3 linked regions of the Arabidopsis thaliana genome follow. The protein of the gene in region 3 interacts with the protein of the main gene of each other region in a pairwise test. Each region holds a gene or a part of one and is shown on either strand. Other genes may lie near its edges. The genes, in order: DWF1, AT4G18230 and AT1G57540.

Evidence for each region.
Region 1: the proteins of AT1G57540 (region 3) and DWF1 interact in a protein complementation assay, tested with the Arabidopsis thaliana proteins (one large-scale study listed by BioGRID).
Region 2: the proteins of AT1G57540 (region 3) and AT4G18230 interact in a protein complementation assay, tested with the Arabidopsis thaliana proteins (one large-scale study listed by BioGRID).

What each region holds. Positions count from the first base shown.
Region 1 is NC_003074.8:6,877,971-6,884,978, reverse strand, and holds DWF1 (cell elongation protein / DWARF1 / DIMINUTO (DIM)), read left to right. Parts: upstream 1-2,663; 5' UTR 2,664-2,767; exon of another isoform or gene 2,768-3,350; 5' UTR 3,351-3,362; coding exon 3,363-4,604; intron 4,605-4,700; coding exon 4,701-5,144; 3' UTR 5,145-5,455; downstream 5,456-7,008. Other genes in the region: AT3G19810 (BTB/POZ domain protein, putative (DUF177)), read left to right, coding at 6,167-6,720, 6,812-7,008. UniProt on the Arabidopsis thaliana protein: Plays a critical role in the general process of plant cell elongation. Involved in the synthesis of campesterol, an early precursor of brassinolide.
Region 2 is NC_003075.7:10,078,391-10,084,777, reverse strand, and holds AT4G18230 (UDP-N-acetylglucosamine transferase subunit ALG14-like protein), read left to right. Parts: upstream 1-2,720; 5' UTR 2,721-2,888; exon of another isoform or gene 2,889-3,046; 5' UTR 3,047-3,067; coding exon 3,068-3,248; intron 3,249-3,342; coding exon 3,343-3,482; intron 3,483-3,600; coding exon 3,601-3,744; intron 3,745-3,843; coding exon 3,844-3,903; coding exon of another isoform or gene 3,904-4,020; exon of another isoform or gene 4,021-4,080; coding exon 4,081-4,257; 3' UTR 4,258-4,668; downstream 4,669-6,387. Other genes in the region: SS4 (starch synthase 4), read right to left, coding at 1-108, 233-284, 379-1,402, 1,489-1,570, 1,665-2,019, 2,403-2,557; AT4G18220 (Drug/metabolite transporter superfamily protein), read right to left, coding at 4,669-5,810, 5,980-6,010.
Region 3 is NC_003070.9:21,308,070-21,313,675, reverse strand, and holds AT1G57540 (40S ribosomal protein), read left to right. Parts: upstream 1-2,154; 5' UTR 2,155-2,263; exon of another isoform or gene 2,264-2,454; 5' UTR 2,455-2,460; coding exon 2,461-2,608; intron 2,609-3,034; coding exon 3,035-3,198; 3' UTR 3,199-3,781; downstream 3,782-5,606. Other genes in the region: AT1G57550 (Low temperature and salt responsive protein family), read left to right, coding at 867-941, 1,052-1,135.

The sequences.
Region 1 (7,008 bases), on a different chromosome or scaffold from region 3:
ACTAAGACTGAACTATGGTTAATTTCAGGGAACCAAGACAAAGGCGCAAGAAAGTCTCCTTTCTGGTCGTTTTCTTAATCTATTGTTGAGAAGTGATTTCTTTTCAATATTGATTGTTGAAGTAACCCATTTGAGTTAAGTTTTTGAGTAGGGTAACAATGTATCGTCTAATGAAAAGCCACTGAAAACGAAACGATCTGTCTTTGGAATGATTGATTGGTATTGCTAAAATCATGGATTATATATAATGCTAAACAAGAATGCTACCAACAATTGAACGTGTCCCCGATGTATTAGACTATTAGTTAATTGCACGTTAAGAGTAGATCTACACTTATTATAAGAAGTTAAGTACATGCAATCAAACAGAAGGCACAACAATTTAAAATAAAAACTGGATCGTGGGTGCATTAAACAAAGTGATTTTGTTTTCCATTCTCTTTTAGCAAGAATAGTAATAAAATGGAAGTGGCAGAAAACAAAAATTTGAATAATAAAAAGGGATTAATAAGAAGTGAGAAAAAATGGAGAATTAGTAATAAAATTACAAAAAATGAGGAAGAGAAATCACGTGAAGGAGTTGAGATCACGTCAGGCACATGTGGGGAGTAGGACAGTCCTCGTTTATAGATTTGTTATCTTCAACTCTCCTCTCTTCGGTTTCTCCGTTCTCTTTTGTCTTTTTCTTTCACCTTTTTTTTTTTTTTTAATTTTTTTACTTCAAGAGAAGTGTTTAGTCATAATACGCTTCAATCTTAACAAATCATAATTTATGTGGGTTGTTGTCTCTGGCTTCTTCACACTTTTTTAGGTACTAATGGAATGGACAAAGACGGTTTTTGTTGATGCAGAAATGACGCATGGGTTTATTTGGCGTTGGACCAAAGAGTAATGTCTTTGTATTTGGATATATATATAAACAAATTGGTGTTTCTTGTAATGTAAACATTGGTGTGATTACACGACCTTGTAACGGTTTAAAACTTTGTCAAGCGTCAACCAAATTTTCACTGACGTCAAACTGTCAATGTCAAAAGGTGTGATTCGCCAAATAGACATTTATTTTTCCATACTACAAAAAAATGATTTGTAGCTGTAAATGTGAGTAAGAAATTAGTTGGCATATTTTAAAGAGTAAATATATTTTATGAGAGATTTTGCAAGAGCTGGATATTTTCTCAGACAGGCCATCATCCCTGTAATTTTTTTTTTCTTTCTATGTCAAATAAATAAATAATTACTTTTTGGCGACAAAAAAAACTTTTTGAGCACTTCATTACTTTAAAGTGTAACCATTTTTCTAAATAAATCATGATTTTATTTGCTTTTCTAAATCAACTATTAAAATACTTAGGTGGAAATCAAATAATTGGTTACAGTAACAGAATTATATATTGAGAGCCTTTTTCACCAAATAACGTGATAGTTTGTGTGTTTATTACTGTATTATGTAGGCACTGATAATGATACAAATGATTTCATATATGAATTTTGATGAAAAGCATGGCTATTGGGATTTGGGAAAACATTTCTCATCACAGCCGTAGTTTTTTTTTTTATATAAATAAGAGGCATTTTATATAAAATTTTTTACTACACATTAGTTTCTAAAATACTACATTGTAATCTGAATAAGATGAAAGTGAATGACTAATTCACAATTGTTTTGGCTTAAAAAAAACACTCATTTGAAGATCCCTTAAGAGTTGAGAGAAAGATATAAGGAACTCTCATTAGCATTCATAATGTATAATGTTTTCAAGATATTTTAGGCAGTGCTTTTTTTGCTTCAATCATAACATATCAAAACTAAATGTTAAAGATTGTTGTAATAACTATTATGATAAGAAAAGTTGTAATGAACTTTTTGCCAATAAACAATATATAAGATCGTCGGCTTAGTAACCTCACGAGGATGGAATGTGCTTTAGGTACATCAACAAACATGTAGGAGGACTGTTTCGCTAAAAGCATTTAGAAAACAAAAATCAATACAATCAACCCATAAAATGCATTTAAAAAAAAAACGAATTGGACAATTACATTTCCTTCATTGGGCACATGTCTTCCTGTAATTTATTGTGATTTACATACCAAAAGAAAGATATATTTTTCTATTTAAAAGAAATTTAAACTGCTAAGATTTGTTGCCTTTTTTTATTTATTTGCTTTTACCTATTTATAGCAGTAAACTCTTTTCAGAAAAAATATCCCTACAAAGAATTTGTCCTCATATTCCTTTTATATGCTAACTGCTAAGTAAGAAATTATATTTTGGAAGATATGTCTAATTAAGCTCTAGGTTCGATTTACATATAATTTCTAAATGTTAAAAGAGTTGGTAAAAATATATTAAATACTGATATAAGTAAAAACAATTTATTTTTATTTTCTTACATCAGAATTATAAACTAAAAAATTGCTCATAAATATAACACATGTGATTTATCAACATTACAACTAACATCGAATTTTTAATTGCGATAACAACAAAGAAACTTAGAAATATGAAAAACCACTTATACAAACCCATGAAAAATATACATTATATATTTCTTAATTTCTATATTTTTGCGTTATTATTACCTTTTTTATTTTAAAATTATATAAAAAAATGGGAAATAAAAAATACCTTGTTTTGAGCGAAAAATGCAAGTGAAGCAGGCTGGCTTGAATCACGTTTTATTATAAAGACAAATGCTCTCACACTCTTGGGGACACTTTCACATCTCATCCTCTCACTCTCTCTCTCCTTTGGATTCTTCAGGTACTCTCTCTACCTCTCTTTCTCTCTCTGTCTCAGTCGCTGACTTATCATTTCCTGTCGTTAGATCTCTCAGTACTTGGTTCATAGTTGTTTCATAGCACGCACTAGTGAACTATGTGGGTTTTTTAATTTTAATCATCTCAGTCTTGGAGAATTTCAAACAAAGTTTCAAACTTTGCTCACCAACTTTTATTTATTTATTTTGGTGGTAGAAAACAGACTTTGATGGCTTTGTAGGAATACTAGATGTGTAGATCTAAAGATTATAACCATTTTCTGTGTTCTTGTTCTTTCAGAACATAACTTCATGTCTTTTTGTCTCTCTGTTCACTAGCTCTCTGTTTCCATGGACTCCACACTATCTTCTTCTTACAGATTTATTTCATACACATACACTGATACACATGTGTGTATACGTATGTGTTTATGTGTGCTTATTATACTCTTTTTGGATTCAAGAAACTAATCTTTAGTATTTTTGACATTCTGGTAGATTTATGCTCACTTCTTAGGCCTTGTTGACTTTTACAGTGATGGATTTTGAAACTCTGGTTGATTTGATTTTCTTTTTGGTTTGATGCAGTGAGGAGAGGAAATGTCGGATCTTCAGACACCGCTTGTGAGGCCCAAGAGGAAGAAGACTTGGGTTGATTACTTTGTCAAGTTCAGATGGATCATTGTCATCTTCATCGTCCTTCCATTCTCAGCCACATTCTACTTCCTCATCTACCTCGGGGACATGTGGTCAGAGTCCAAGTCCTTTGAGAAACGTCAGAAGGAACACGACGAGAATGTCAAGAAAGTCATCAAAAGGCTTAAGGGTAGGGATGCTTCCAAGGACGGGCTTGTCTGCACTGCTCGTAAGCCCTGGATCGCTGTTGGAATGAGGAACGTTGACTACAAGAGAGCCCGGCATTTCGAGGTTGACTTGGGGGAGTTCCGTAACATCCTTGAGATCAACAAGGAGAAGATGACTGCTAGAGTGGAGCCTCTTGTTAACATGGGACAGATTTCCCGTGCTACCGTCCCAATGAACCTGTCTCTCGCTGTTGTTGCTGAGCTTGATGACCTTACCGTTGGTGGACTTATCAATGGATATGGTATTGAAGGAAGCTCTCACATCTACGGTTTGTTTGCTGATACCGTTGAGGCTTACGAGATTGTTCTTGCGGGTGGAGAGCTTGTCCGCGCCACAAGGGATAATGAGTATTCTGATCTTTACTACGCAATCCCGTGGTCGCAAGGAACTCTTGGACTCCTTGTAGCTGCTGAGATCAGGCTTATTAAAGTCAAGGAGTACATGAGACTCACTTACATACCAGTCAAGGGTGATCTTCAAGCCTTAGCTCAAGGTTACATTGATTCTTTTGCTCCCAAAGACGGTGACAAGTCGAAAATCCCGGATTTCGTCGAAGGCATGGTTTACAATCCAACGGAAGGAGTGATGATGGTTGGAACATATGCATCTAAAGAAGAGGCAAAGAAGAAAGGGAACAAAATCAACAATGTGGGATGGTGGTTCAAGCCGTGGTTCTACCAGCACGCGCAGACCGCCCTGAAAAAGGGACAGTTTGTTGAGTACATCCCAACTCGTGAATACTACCACAGGCACACAAGGTGCTTGTACTGGGAAGGGAAGCTTATTCTTCCATTTGGTGATCAGTTCTGGTTTAGGTACCTCTTAGGTTGGTTGATGCCTCCAAAGGTCTCTCTTCTTAAGGCCACTCAAGGTGAAGCTATCAGGAACTATTACCATGATATGCATGTTATTCAGGATATGCTTGTTCCTCTTTACAAGGTTGGCGATGCACTCGAATGGGTCCACCGCGAAATGGAGGTAAAACTAAAAGCTCGGTTTCATGATTGATCATCTTCTAGTTAAAGTTTCTTTTGATGTTATTAACAAAATCATGAATTGTTTGTTCTCTTTCAGGTGTATCCAATTTGGCTTTGCCCACACAAACTCTTCAAGCAGCCAATCAAAGGCCAAATCTACCCAGAGCCAGGCTTCGAGTACGAAAACAGACAAGGAGACACAGAAGATGCACAGATGTACACTGATGTTGGAGTCTACTACGCACCTGGCTGTGTCCTAAGAGGTGAAGAGTTTGATGGATCAGAAGCAGTGCGTAGGATGGAGAAATGGCTGATAGAGAACCATGGATTCCAGCCTCAGTACGCGGTGTCTGAGCTCGACGAGAAGAGCTTCTGGAGAATGTTTAATGGTGAATTGTATGAGGAGTGCCGCAAGAAGTATAGAGCTATTGGAACGTTCATGAGTGTTTACTACAAGTCCAAGAAAGGAAGGAAGACTGAGAAAGAAGTTAGAGAAGCCGAACAAGCTCATCTCGAAACTGCTTATGCCGAGGCAGATTAAGTAATAATAAGCCTTGGTTTGATGTAATGGCTCGGGATGATTATTGTTATTCCTAGTAGTGTCTGTTATGTTGTTGTTTCCTAATTTCAGTTTTAGTGTCTTGAAGACTCTTGTTGTTGTTGTTTGCTTCTTGTTGTTGTTTGACTCATTCTGGTTTGAGTGGATTTTAGAGTTTAAAACTTTTGGATTTGCCTATGAAATTGAAGGTTTCCGGTTTTATCGTGTTGCTTGACTGTCACAATGTAAGCATGTTGCTGTAATGAATTAATTGATCTACCAATTTGAGAGATCATTTCAACTTCTCTCTTTATACCACCACCAACTAGGCTTTAGATCATTCACGACGTGAATCTAAAACACTAAAACCCGACTTTGTTAGTTTTATTGGGGTGCGGTTAGGTTTGATATAAACCTGGAAATACCGGTATTTGAACCGAAGTTGACCGGGTGAGACTTTTTAGGATAAACCCAAGCAGCCATTTCCGAGTAAGAAGAGCTCTGTTTCTGAAAGAAGTTTTACAGAGTCGATCGTCTAAAGCGTTGTTGAAGCACTTGTTAGTGGTAAGTAATTTCGATTTATTAATTCTTGTTGTATCTTTTGTATTCGAAGTTACTTGCTTGTTTTTCGATTTCGTCTCCGTCATGATGTTTGCGGCTCTGTTAATTGGAAGTGGAAAGGTCTGTCCTTTATCTACATAAAATGGTGCATAGAAGGTGTTCGACCAAATTCCTAGCTCAAATTCCTTTAGTTACATTAGCTCTGACTGGAATGTAACTGTGAAGTCTCGATACCCAATTCATTCTTTTCAAAAACAATTGAAGATTATTATTTCCCTTCTCAAGATTTTCTGTCTTTTCTCTATTGTTGACACTATATCAGCAAATGTTTCTTGCAGGTGCTCTGTTTCAAGCTGGATAAACCCAATCCTATTGGGATTTGGCTGGATTTTATACCATATTTTAGCATGATTGTTTGATAAACGCTTGATAAATTGCCTCTTGTTGTCACCTTTGCTACGAAAATGTCTCTGGTTTGCTCTTTATCTTGTGTAGCTCCCTTGCCACAGACTAAACAGTCGCGTCCAAGTTTTCTGAAACTCGAAACATGTACCTTAAGTTTATCTTCTCCCGCTGGCTATCCTAATTTTACCACCGGTATTAGGAAGCATATCAGTTACTTGTTCACTGAACCGATCAAGCTTCCTAGGCTAGCAAAGAGTCGGATATTAGTTAGTCAGGAGTCTTTTACAGAGACCAGCACAATAGATATGGATTGGGAAGATCAGGAGGAAATTGAGGATACTGGGTCACCTTGGGAAGGTTCGGTTATGTATAGGAGAAATGCTTCAGTTACACATGTTGAATATTGCACTACCTTAGAGAGGCTTGGGTTGGGAAGGTTGTCAACAGATGTCTCGAAGAAGAGAGCTTCTGCAATGGGACTTAGAGTGACAAAAGATGTCAAGGATTATCCAGATGGCACACCAGTTCAAGTTTCGGTTGATGTCATAAGGAAGAAGAAGAAGCTGAGACTTGATGGAATTGTCAGGACTGTTATCACACTCGGCTGCAACAGGTGCTTTCTTATGAACTCATCGAAGCTTTTTTACTTTATTGTGATTGCATCAACTTTGTTATTTAACGGGTTTTCTCTTATGTGTTTGAAGATGTGGTGAGTCAACAGGTGAGAGCATCTTCTCCAACTTCTCGCTATTACTAACCGAAGAGCCAGTTGAAGAACCCGATGTCATTGATCTAGGATTCACATTCGGTAATGACAAAGAAGAAGGCGAAGATGATGATGATAATGATGATTCATGGATAGATTGGGAGGATAAGCTTCATTTTCCACCTGAGGTGAAAG
Region 2 (6,387 bases), on a different chromosome or scaffold from region 3:
GCGATCATACTGCATACAGTCATATTTGGGAAGAATAATCTCCACCAGATGACCTTTTCTTTGCAATGCCTTACCAAGACCTGCCACAACATCTCCCAAACCTCCCACCTACAGAAATTACAGAAGGAAATTTGGAATGGGGATAAAGTTGAAAATTTACCATGCAATGCTTCTATTTCGGAAAATCTAACATGTAAGCAAGAGATATTTTTGAGGGTTTAGCTGAACACACCTTAGCTACAGGTGCCATCTCAGCTGCAATGTGAACGACATACAATCCTGAACTAGAATCAACACAAGATGAAGAAAATAGGTTACTTTTTTCAAAAGCTTTAAAAACTGAAAAAAAAAAAAGCATTTCCAATAGACGATGATAACCTTGTTGGAGATGAGACAAGCTTGAGAAATGCAGAGATGGCATCACGTTCATTCTTATCTTTGACGTCAATATAGGTATCATGAATTCTTCGATCTTTCTTCCATACCATGTCTCTCAGTAAGTCAGCATCGTTGCTTGCTATTTTCTTTTCAAGCAGCCATCCATCAACAGTTAAAAGTAACCGACTCCAATAATCCCAAGGCATATCATCAACCGGTTCATCTCTTGATTTTTTCTTGCTTTCTTCCTTCAAACTTTCAAGTGTTTCCTGGAATTCTTTTATCGATTCTTGATATAACTGAACATATGAGAATATCTCTGCATCAGACTTTTCGAGCCGCTCCTCAAGTAATGTCACCTTATGTTGCATTAGCTCATTGTACTGTTGAATTTTCTCTGAAGATTCTTTATAAACGTTGGCTTCTTTAAGTGATTCCTCAATTTTGTCGACCTTATTTCTTAGATCTTGGTTCTGTTGTAACACTATAACTGCTTGCTCTGCTTGTTTGGTAGCTCTATCTAACAACAGCTGTAGAGTCTCTACCTTCGCCCATAGATCAGTGCATTCGATTTTAAGAGTAGAAAGCTGCGAGACATCTTCCTGAGAAACCGATAACTTAGATTCCAAATCCTTTACAGAAGATTCCAAACCGGAGCACTCCTTTTCCAACACAACCACACGTTCACCGGTATCTTTAACACTGTCAAGTTCTGACTTAAGCATTTCTATATCGTTTCTCAAAGATAGATTCTCCAGCTTCAATGTTTCAAGCTCTTTGCTAAGAGCTAGAACATAACCATCACTTTCTATAGGGGAGATCATTTCATGACGAAGCTTCTCTAACTGTTCTTCCAGAAGCTCTACATGTGCTTTCTCTTGAGCAGCAGTTTTAATCCTTTCATCAGTCTCAGACAATTTCATTTCCAAGACATTGATTTCTCCCTGCAACGCTTCCTTATCACTAAGAATCTTGTTAAGGTCGTCAAGAGCAGTGGCCCGTGCTTCATCAAGCCGAAGAATATCTGACACAATAAGACATCAGGAATTAACAAAGGCTTTCACAAGATCAGGAAACAAACATAACTAATACAGATAAGAAAATTTCTACTTTTTTCTGCACTTCTTATCATTGTCATTAGTTCCCCAAACTGTCCATCTGAAATCTGCTCGCCTTCACTTTTGTTAAGGGACTGAAAAAATGATTTACAATAAGTGATCAAAAGAAGGCCTTTTTCAGAAGAAGAGAGTTACGATATACCATTAACACTAAAAAGAAATCCATACCAAAGCTTTTGCAACCTCAGGCACAGTAATATTATCTAAATTCTTCCCATCATCATGTCCAATATCAATCGTAGCATGAATACTCTCCCCTTTCTTCTTTGCAGTTTTACTCTTGCGCCGAGTAACTTCAGTTGTTTGTATATCATCTTTCTTTTCAAGATTCTCATCAGCATGATTCATATCTATGCTGCCATGAATACTACTACCCTTTTCAGCATCTGACTTAAGACTCGGGACACTGTCCGCAGAACCATTCTCCAGATCAGATTCCTCATCATTGTTGCTCTGAAGACCTGAATTTATAGATAGGATCGGTTTAGGGGAGCCTTTCTTGACCTCTTGTCTTTTACTAGAGCTGCAAATTAGTCAAGATATCAGATTTTTTTTGACTTGGTGTAATGCAAATCAAATGGGAAATGAAAGGAACTTAAGCTACAAAGAGGCTAGCTTTAACAAAAATTGGATTCATATCAAAAATCAAATGCAACATTTTGATCTCATCACTAAGTAAAATCAGAGTTTTAATTCTCATAGTCCTCTCCAAACTCATACAAATGAATCTAAATCAAGATAATTATAAACACGTTCACATCTATGAGCATTCACCATAACTCTAAAGCTGAGAAAAACAAAACTTTATAATGCAAAATTCAAAAATGCCAAGTTACATAAATCAATCGAATTGGTACATAAATTCTCAAACCCCAACACAGAAATCGACAAAAAAAAAAAACTCACTCGAAACCACGTTGTTGTCGCATCTTACACGAAGTAGAAACTAATCGACGAGAAGGGAGATAGAAAAATCGACGAGAACTTCCATGTTCTCTCTCGCAGGAGATTCCTGCTAATCCATGGGTTAAGAAACAGAAGCTCGATAGCTTCGTCGTCATGTTTAATTAGATACCTAAACGAAGAAAGCTACAAAAGTTGCTTCAATGGAGGTTTTGTGAAAAAATCTCATTTTTTTTTTTCTAAGTACCGACTGGTGTACAATATCTTCTTCATCAGTTCTTAGTATCTTTTTAAGATTTTAAAATAAAAAATTGGGAAGGAATTACATGTTTGCAGGTCCACCCAAAGATAAAAGTCACGTGGTTACGCCACGTGTATTCTAAGCAATATCCAAATCGAACGGTGGTAAAAAGAAGACACACCGTAACCAATAAAATTCAATTCTCTAATCCTTTACGTTCCCGTCACCGCCGGGATTCTCCGTCGCCGGTGAGTTTTTTATTTTGTTTCTTCCCACCTTATAATCGCCGTGTTGAATCTTCAATTTCGTTTTTTTGTCTAATTTCGAGCTCGATTTTGACGATTCGTTTTGTTTGTGATCTGATTTTGAGTTGTTTCTCCATTACGCTTGGATTTTGACGTTTTAGATCTCAAAAGGAAGTACGATCATGGAGGAAGGTTGCAACTGTGTTTACTCAAGGATGGCCTCAAAATTCAGCATTGGTTTATTGATTATTTTGGCGATCGTTCTTCTAATGGTTCGTGTACTGTATGTTATATACCGATGTGGCAAACCACTTCCAAAAGGAGCTTCACAGTCTTTTACTACTCTTATTGTTCTTGGTTCTGGTAAGAAGAGTTAATGCAGTGTCTTCTTCAATTGGATCTAAGTAATGTGCTGCATATTATGATATGTTATTGTGGGGTTTTTGTTAATCACCAGGGGGACACACAGCAGAGATGTTGAGTCTCCTCTCTGTTTTGCGGAAGGATAGATTTACACCAAGGTTTTACATTGCTGCTGCTACAGATAACATGAGTCTCCAGAAAGCTCGTAGTTTTGAAGATTCTCTAGCTGAGAAGGTTTAGTTAAAAATCCTTAAATTCAATTTCGTTTGAGTTTTGTCCCTCCTCTTTGAATTTTGCTATTGCTTATTACTTATTTCTTGTGTGTTTTTTGCTTGGTATGACTGTGGCATAGCCTGCTGTTAAGGAAGCATCATCACAGTTCATGCAAATTTACCGGAGTCGTGAAGTTGGTCAGTCTTATGTGACTTCTGTTTGGACTACCATTGTTGCTATTCTTCACGCTCTGTGGCTAATGATCCGGATCAGACCACAAGTGGTATGATTTTTATCTGAATGCTTTTTAGACTTTCTTCAAGGGTTCTTTATTAAACCATTTGAATCAGGTTATTGATTAGATTTGGTTGAAGTTTTTCAGATTCTTTGCAATGGTCCTGGGACCTGTATTCCTCTGTGTGTGATCGCCTTTTTATTCAAGGTATACACACTTCGGAAATATTTTATCAAGATTCTTTGCAGTTCTTTCCTCTACATTTTGGATGACCTTGAATGGACTTGTGACCAAAAACAGAGGATGTGTTTTGTTTATTCTTAGTCATGGTTTCTCCATTACATCTAGAATTCCCATAAGTGCTTGTTTCATCTTGGGTTACAGGTGCTGGGAATTAGATGGTCATCAATCTTTTATGTTGAGAGTGTAGCAAGAGTGAAAAAGCTCTCATTAAGTGGATTGTTGCTTTACAAGTTGAGAATAGCTGATCAATTCTTTGTTCAATGGCCACAACTGCATAAGAAGTATCCTCGGGCTCACTATGTTGGGTGCCTGATGTAAGCTGATTGGAACTCTACTTACACCTAGATATATTACAAAAACTTAGAAAGCTACATAGTGTACACCTTCTCTTTATATGCAGGATTGAGTTTTAAACAATGAATTTTTGTAATCAGCTGTTTTGACTTTGTTAATGACTTAATGCTATTTCAGTGAGCTTATAATGTGATTTTGGTCATCTTATTCCAAACTAAACCAGAATCGTGCACAACATATATTTAAATAAAATATACTTCATGTTACAATGATGCACACATTTTCAGGCTGTGACTTCACTTGAGTCGCATCACAAATCTATTATGTTTATTTTTCATTGTAGGCTGCCTTCATACCAATAAAGAAAAGTAAGTTTACTTGATCAGCTCGCTTTAGTCTGTAAACTGTGTGTGCCACAATCTTTGAAGTAACAGCTTATTTTGATTGCTCACTTGACCCTTCTGCTTCTGGTCGGTCAGGGGATTCTGTTGTTGGTATTTCATTACTTTTCTTCAAGTTTGTTTCATCAAGATATTGTTGGTAGACATAGGATACGAAACCCCAAATAGCTAGAATCATAGAAATCACCTTTAAGCCGTTCATTTTGTCATGGAAAATGATGACAGCCAGGATAGGAACCACGGGGAGTCCCAAAGCGCTTATTGCATTTGAGAATAGGGAGGAAAGCTCGAAGATCAGTCCTGTGCAACCGATGGAGAATACCTGCCAGGTAACAGCTGTCCACACTAGGTTCATGACATAGGATACCTTCCCAAGTTTGTAGTTTTCCATTTCACTGCTCAAAGTTTTCCACTCGCTACTAGCAAAAAGCCCCACCACGCTAACACAACTGGCCACTAGACTCATGTAGATTATCATATTTATAACTTCTGAGAAAGTTTGCTTCTTTAAAACTTTACGAAAGGCTAGCTGTTGTAGGGATAAGAGTAGACCAAACCCAGCAGATGCACCAACGGTGCATACGAAACCTTTGACATACTCTCCTTTTGTAACTTTTTTGGAATCTGATTCCTCGTTATTAAATGCAAGGAGGGTGGAAGATATAGTGAGGAGGAAAAGAGAATTCAAAATGATAGGAGTAAGTTTTTGTGAGTTGAGTAAATAAGAGAAGAAAGCGGTGAAGGCTAACTGTGATGCACAGATCAGGGAAAGGGTAGAAACAGGTAGGTAAAGCAGTCCAATGGAATATAGGTAGCAAGCTGCTCCTACAAGAAGTCCAAGCACTATGTAAACTAATGCACGGTTCCTAAGTGAGGTTAATTTGCCATCTCTCTGAGTTGTTGTATGTGTTTTGACTGACAAGAGATGATATGGAAGTAGAATAGGAAAGCCTACAAGCTGAACTACCGTTGCTAGCCATTTGCTGTTTCCTCCATTTTCATAGTATAGTCTGCCCAGAATTGTAGCAACTGATTGGCCTGAAATGACAAAGAATGTATAGATAGCAACCCGGAGCCACCGTTTGTATGTATTAGAGTGAGATAGTTTTGTTTGGCTGCCACTGACCGAACTTCTTTCGTCTTGATCTGTTGGAATTGGTTCTTTTCCCTGCTGAACTGGTGAGTGATGGAAAATAACGCAAGAAATTAGATTATGACTTATTTGTTGTCACACATGAAAAATATTGATATATTGAATAATAAGATACCATAACCATATTTTTCGTCTTTTATTTGAAGATAAAAGACCAGTAGGTTCTCGAGGAACTGGTTTATGCTTACTCACCAATGACTTGTACTTCTTGATCCCCCTTCATAGTAGATGTGGAATCCCCCTCCTTCGAGATGGACAAGGAGGTACTAACAATGTTCTGAATAGATTCTAAGTATTAGGTATCTTATTATCAAATTGCTTGGTTACTAGTGCTACCAAGTGATTGCTTCTGTGATATGGGTGAGACACGCTGTAGCTATATATTTAGAGATTAGGAATCGGTCATCGTCTATGTTTTGATTGTACTTGTCCCCACATTCAGTAAATGCCAACTGTATATCTTCTCTTGCTGTGAATTTAATTTCTTTTGTCACTATTGTTGATCTAGAGATGAGTCGAGTCAAATCAAGAAGGAAATGATGTGTAGCCATTAGTCACTCAGTATTTTATACCTGTGTGACACATCAGCCATATGCATAG
Region 3 (5,606 bases):
TTGTGACAATTATATTAATCTTTGATAATTAGTTTTGGTTAAACTTTTTTTTTTATTATCCATTTTTGTCAACCACGTAATTAAATTAAAAAAATATATCTTAATAGATTATCTAATATGAAAGAACCGAGTTTACGAAATTTCATTTTTAAATTAGTTTTGACTAATGGGTCTCTAAGTTATTACACCCGACTAAATATGTGGAGTCGATAAGTGATAGCAAGTTAGATTTACTTGTTCTAAGCTAAACTAACAAATATAGATAAGTTAAGTAGATTAAAACTTACATAATTGAATATTTACATGTTTGGAAAAAAAACTTGAGTAAAAGAAAAAAAACTTGATAAAAATCACTAAAAATTATGTTTACACTTGAGTTAAAAGCAAACATTTTATCTACATAAGATGATACTAATACAAACTAATGGCCTATATATATTTGTAATCCATGAAATTTAATTTTATTTTTGTAACAGACATTATGATTGTAACATTTTAATTTCTTTGCCCAAAAACAAAACATTTTATTTTTAAGTTATTCGACTTCTTATTTGTGTTCATCCCATTTTTTTGTTTCCAACCGATGAACAACGGAAGGTTGCGTCAAAACGCAAAGGGTTGTGTTGTTTGTGTTGAAGTGGAGCTCCTTCATTTTAGGAACAAGCAGAGGACGTTACACAATCAAACTCAGTTTCTTCCCTTATTTAACGTAACCACTAATTCTATTTTCTTGTTCTTTTACAAAGTTCATAAATGGAAATGAACACGTAAGAAGAAATAAAACAAAGTTCAAAACTAAGAAACAGAAAAACAAAAAAAAACATAAAAAAACATATAAAAAAAACATAAAATTACAGAAGAAAAAAATGGGTAGCTTCCTTGAGGTTCTTTGTGCAATCTTCATACCTCCTGTTGGTGTGTTCCTCAGATATGGCCTTGGGGTAAATTTTTTTCATTCATAAATCATAAAAATATATGACACATTTGACATTAATGGTCAAAGTAAGATCAAATCTCTTGTTTTTTTGTTTCTTTGTATATGTGTTTGCAGTTGGAGTTTTGGGTCTGTTTGCTTCTAACGTTATTCGCTTTTATCCCCGGACTGATATATGCCATCTACGTTCTCACCAAGTAGGAATAACCAATCAAAAACACTGGATCCTTTTTTTATTTTATAACTTTTTCTTTTTCCAACAATGTTTGCTTTTTTAGATTTTTTATGTTGTATTTAAGGAATCAGTTTTGTAATCTAGCAAACTTTTTGCTATGTTAGATGTATGTAAATTCCAGCAGTTTCCAAATTGCTGTTGTTCTAGTTTGCAGAGGTTATGGATACATTTTACGGATCATAAACAGATTTGGAAGATTGATGATATTATTATATGCGTGATATAAATTTTGAATTGTAGTAATACTACATCTAAAGAGTGATCAAATTATTAGTACCATTAGGAACTATAAAGTTCTGATAGAGATATTACATGGAGTCATCGATACACACAGTTTACTTATGCGTATAACGATAAATATAAACCTGTGTACATACATTTATAATTTTATATAGCTTCTGCAATTCCGATTTGAAGATTGCTTGAATCGAATACCGTGTGGTATAGGCTCCCATGAAGACGTTCCCAATAATCCCTGCATATACAAATTCTTTACCTCAAAGTGGTAAGCAAAAAATGTAAACAAAATCTATTGAAATCGTCCCATCTTACCAAAGAGGATCAATTGGTATAGTCAATGCTCTCCCATAATGAAAAAAATTATGAGCTACTTGGTTACAACAACGATTCGAATGAGAAAAATATTATTTTCTAACCTTAAATATCCAAGATATCGGTGTAAATTCCGATAATAGATGCGTCTATTAATCCATTGTTAATGCTGTCAATTAAGGTTTTTTGCAATCCCCTCTAACTCTCTAAGTGTACCTCGGTGAAACCTCGAATCTACTTTACACTAACTTTTAATTAGTTCGTACTAATTAACGAAAAAAAAACCTTTTAATTAATTCAGAAAGACAGAAACCAACTCCTTGAAAAAACAAATTGTTTTTCCGAGCCACGTGTATCACTTGGATCCGACGATTATTGTGTCCGGCCCATTAAGATAGTTAACACTTATTGGGCTTCCAAATATCAGCTAATTAGACACGTGGATCTGATTCTCTTCTCCGTCTTCTTCCGACAAGCTCGACGGCGACACAGCCAAAGAAACTACGCATCACCGGTAACGACAGAGATTGCTTTTGCTTCTGGTATTTATGTACCAATTCTGCTCTCTTTTTTACTGCTTAGATCTTAACCCATATAGAGTTATTATATCTGTTGCTCGTTTTTGAAGTTGCCCTTATACTGCTCGATGAAATGCCTCAGTGAATATCTTAATCACAAAACCGAATAGTTTCGTTTCTCTTATACTTAAATTAATTTGGTGTTGTTATTACAGAGAGAAATGGCGTTAAGGCAGAAGTTAGGATGGTCAGAAGGAGATCTGATGAGATCAGATGCTAAGCCATGTTCAAGACTGATGAAACAAACAGCTGCCATTTTCACTGTTGGTGGAGCTCTTGGTTTCTGGGTTCTTTGCAGACTTCACTATGGTAAACAAAGTTCTCTCCTTTCTAATCAGTGATTTGCGTTTCCATCAAAAGGTTGTTCTCCATATAGCTATTGAATCCAGTGCTCTGCATAATTGATTGTTAGAAAGATTTCTTGTAGCCTTATGAAAACATACCAATGCGTATTACCATTCTGTTTTCTGTTCTGTAGTATCCGTTTCTTATGAGAAAAATGAATCCAAAAGGAGCTTTGATTGAATAGTTTGATGTGGTGAAAGATTGGATCTTTACACGTTTTGGGAAGCAATACACTTGTTCTTTGATTCCTATTGTCATGAAAAATGATTCTTGGGGTTGGTTTGTTGTTTATGTGGTTTTAAGAGTAAAAGGAACGTAGAATAGAATAGTTGAGTCAATTCTAAGATAGAACGGTTATAAAAGCAAATGTTTTCTTTGGGAAATGTGTAGGTCCAAGGATCACAGTGCCAAGGAGTCTGCGGTGGGCTGGGTGTGGTGCTTTGTCCGTAAGCACATCAACTGCAATGCTTGTCCGTCTCTTCAGCCCTGAATGTGAACCACAAAACATTGCTGCATATGATAACATCAAAACCCCTCAAGCTTCACTCCCTTAAACCCCATCATAATCTGGCTTTACCTATGATGTGTATGGACCTCATCTTCTGTACATTTTCTTGCAGTACATGAATTTAGGTAACTATTTATAATACTACCAAATTCTGTCACTTTTTGTTTCCTTTAGAAATTATGGTGTATTTTTTCATATAGCCTTTAGGTTGATAGAGTTAAGAGTATCATCCTATGCTCCTCTCTCATTTTCGTGTGTGTTTGATTATGAGTGTAGTGTAATTGGCCATTGGTCACACTCTTTTGGGAGAGTGTTTAGCTTTCTAAAGCTTTTGCTGTCGAAGGGAAGACCTTTGGATTTATTTGGAGGGTTGGGTCTCACTATCCCCTCAAACTAGTCATAGGTGGAATATCCACACCGAGGTTGTGACTTCATGGAGATGCCTGCTAGTTAAATATGTGTAGGAATATGTTTGATCACCAACAAACCTAATGCTACCATTTCTCGAGCATAATTAATTAATTAATTATAATCGACATCAATGTGTTTTGAATGTGAGTAAAGAGCTAGGATTTCAGTGATATTGTCATATAGACACAGCATATAAGCCTGTGGTATTATAATGTCATGGAGAACATAACTTAATCAAGTGAATTCTGCAAGCTATGGAGGCCAAAGATCTAGCTTTTTGGAACGGAGGTTGTTTCTTTGCATTTCGAATGAAAACAATAGTTGAAGCAGAACATCCTTAGGTCAATAGTTTGAATCCGGTAGGGTCAGATCTTATTTTCTAAAGCTTGTTTCATTCCATTTTCAGTGTTCTTTGACAAGAGTATTACAACAAAATCGTTATCAAAAGAGAACTCAATAAGAGAAATGCATACATGTCAAGTTTTTTTTTTTTGGTAAAAGGTTAAGTTACGTTACATGCCAAGTTTGTTATAGGGAATGAGTGGAAATGTCAGAGGTTACTTTCACTATACTTGACACCTTATGATGTTTGAACCATTGACTAGGCAGACTACAAAACCAAAAGATCCATCCACATGTGGTTTTTGCACAGTTCTTGGCGCAAAGAAACAACCTCCTGTCTACCAACTGAGCGAAGGTCGAACTGTACTATTGCATTTGATACATGTGTAAAATTATAACAATATATGAACACAATGATTTTGCAGTACTTTAGAATATACAGAGTGATTCCTCTTTAAGAAATTGTAAACAAAGTTAGAAATTAGAATGCATATCAACAATATATGCAAACATGCTTCTTGGAAAAATCTGGTAGATATTCGAAAGTGATGGCTACAACTCGAACGGTTTAAATATCCTCCGGTGCCCAAGGCCTACCAGTTGATAACACCACGTTTAAGGCGTCAATCACCTCCCAAATGGTCGATGATTGTTAATATTCTTGGAAAATTAAAGCCATGAAAATCGTGCAACAAAGTGGGAAAGGGTATTTCACTACACTTGAATGAACATTGACAACTTATAGGCACAACCCACAAGCTATTGAATAGAATTATTCATACACATTCTTTTTTCATTGCAAAACTCAATAACTATAGGTTGGGTTGATCAAAGAAAATTAGAAAACTCATTGTTTTAAGTAATTTCAAATATTTTCTTATCGCATCAATATTGAAAAAGCTAAAATTACGGAACATCTACAACTTCGAGCAAAACTTTTCGTGCAACAAAGTGGGAAAAGGTATTTCACCACCCTTGTATGAACGTTGACAACTTATAGGCACAACCCACAAGCATTTGAATATAATTATGCATACATTTTTTGTTCTTTTTAAAACTCTAAAACTAAATGTTTGTTTGACCAAAGAAAATTAGAAAACTCATAGTTTTTAGTCACTTTTAAATCATTTTTCATCGTATCAATATTGAAAAAAGCTAAACATACGGATCGTTTAAGAATTCGAGCAAAACTTTTCGGTATGTTTAATTGTCGACCACCATATAACCGTTTATTATAAAATTTAAAAACCTTAATGTCACAACGAAAGAAAAATAAAAAGATCTCGTGTGGGAGCAAATTCCGACCTACCGGATTCGAACCAGTGACCTAAGGATAATCTGCGTCTACTACAGTCCTCCGCTCTACCAACTGAGCTAAGGTCGGATTGTATTCTATTTCATGCATGTGTACTGATCTAAATATTCTATCAACACAATGATTTGTATTAAGTTAGCATACTCATAGTGAGTCTCTATTACAAATTTGTAAACAAAGTTTGAATTTATAAAAACATTATATTAGAAAAACACTTAATATCTTGCCTAAAGCTCGTAAATATACGAAAATGAGGGTTTACCCTTAAACGGTTTAAAATACAGTGAAAATTACTTCGAGATTTCCCACTCATTTCTGATAATACAATCAATAGCTATGCAATTCTCTTAAACCAATTTCTCATAGAAAAACGAGTTTGTAGTTAT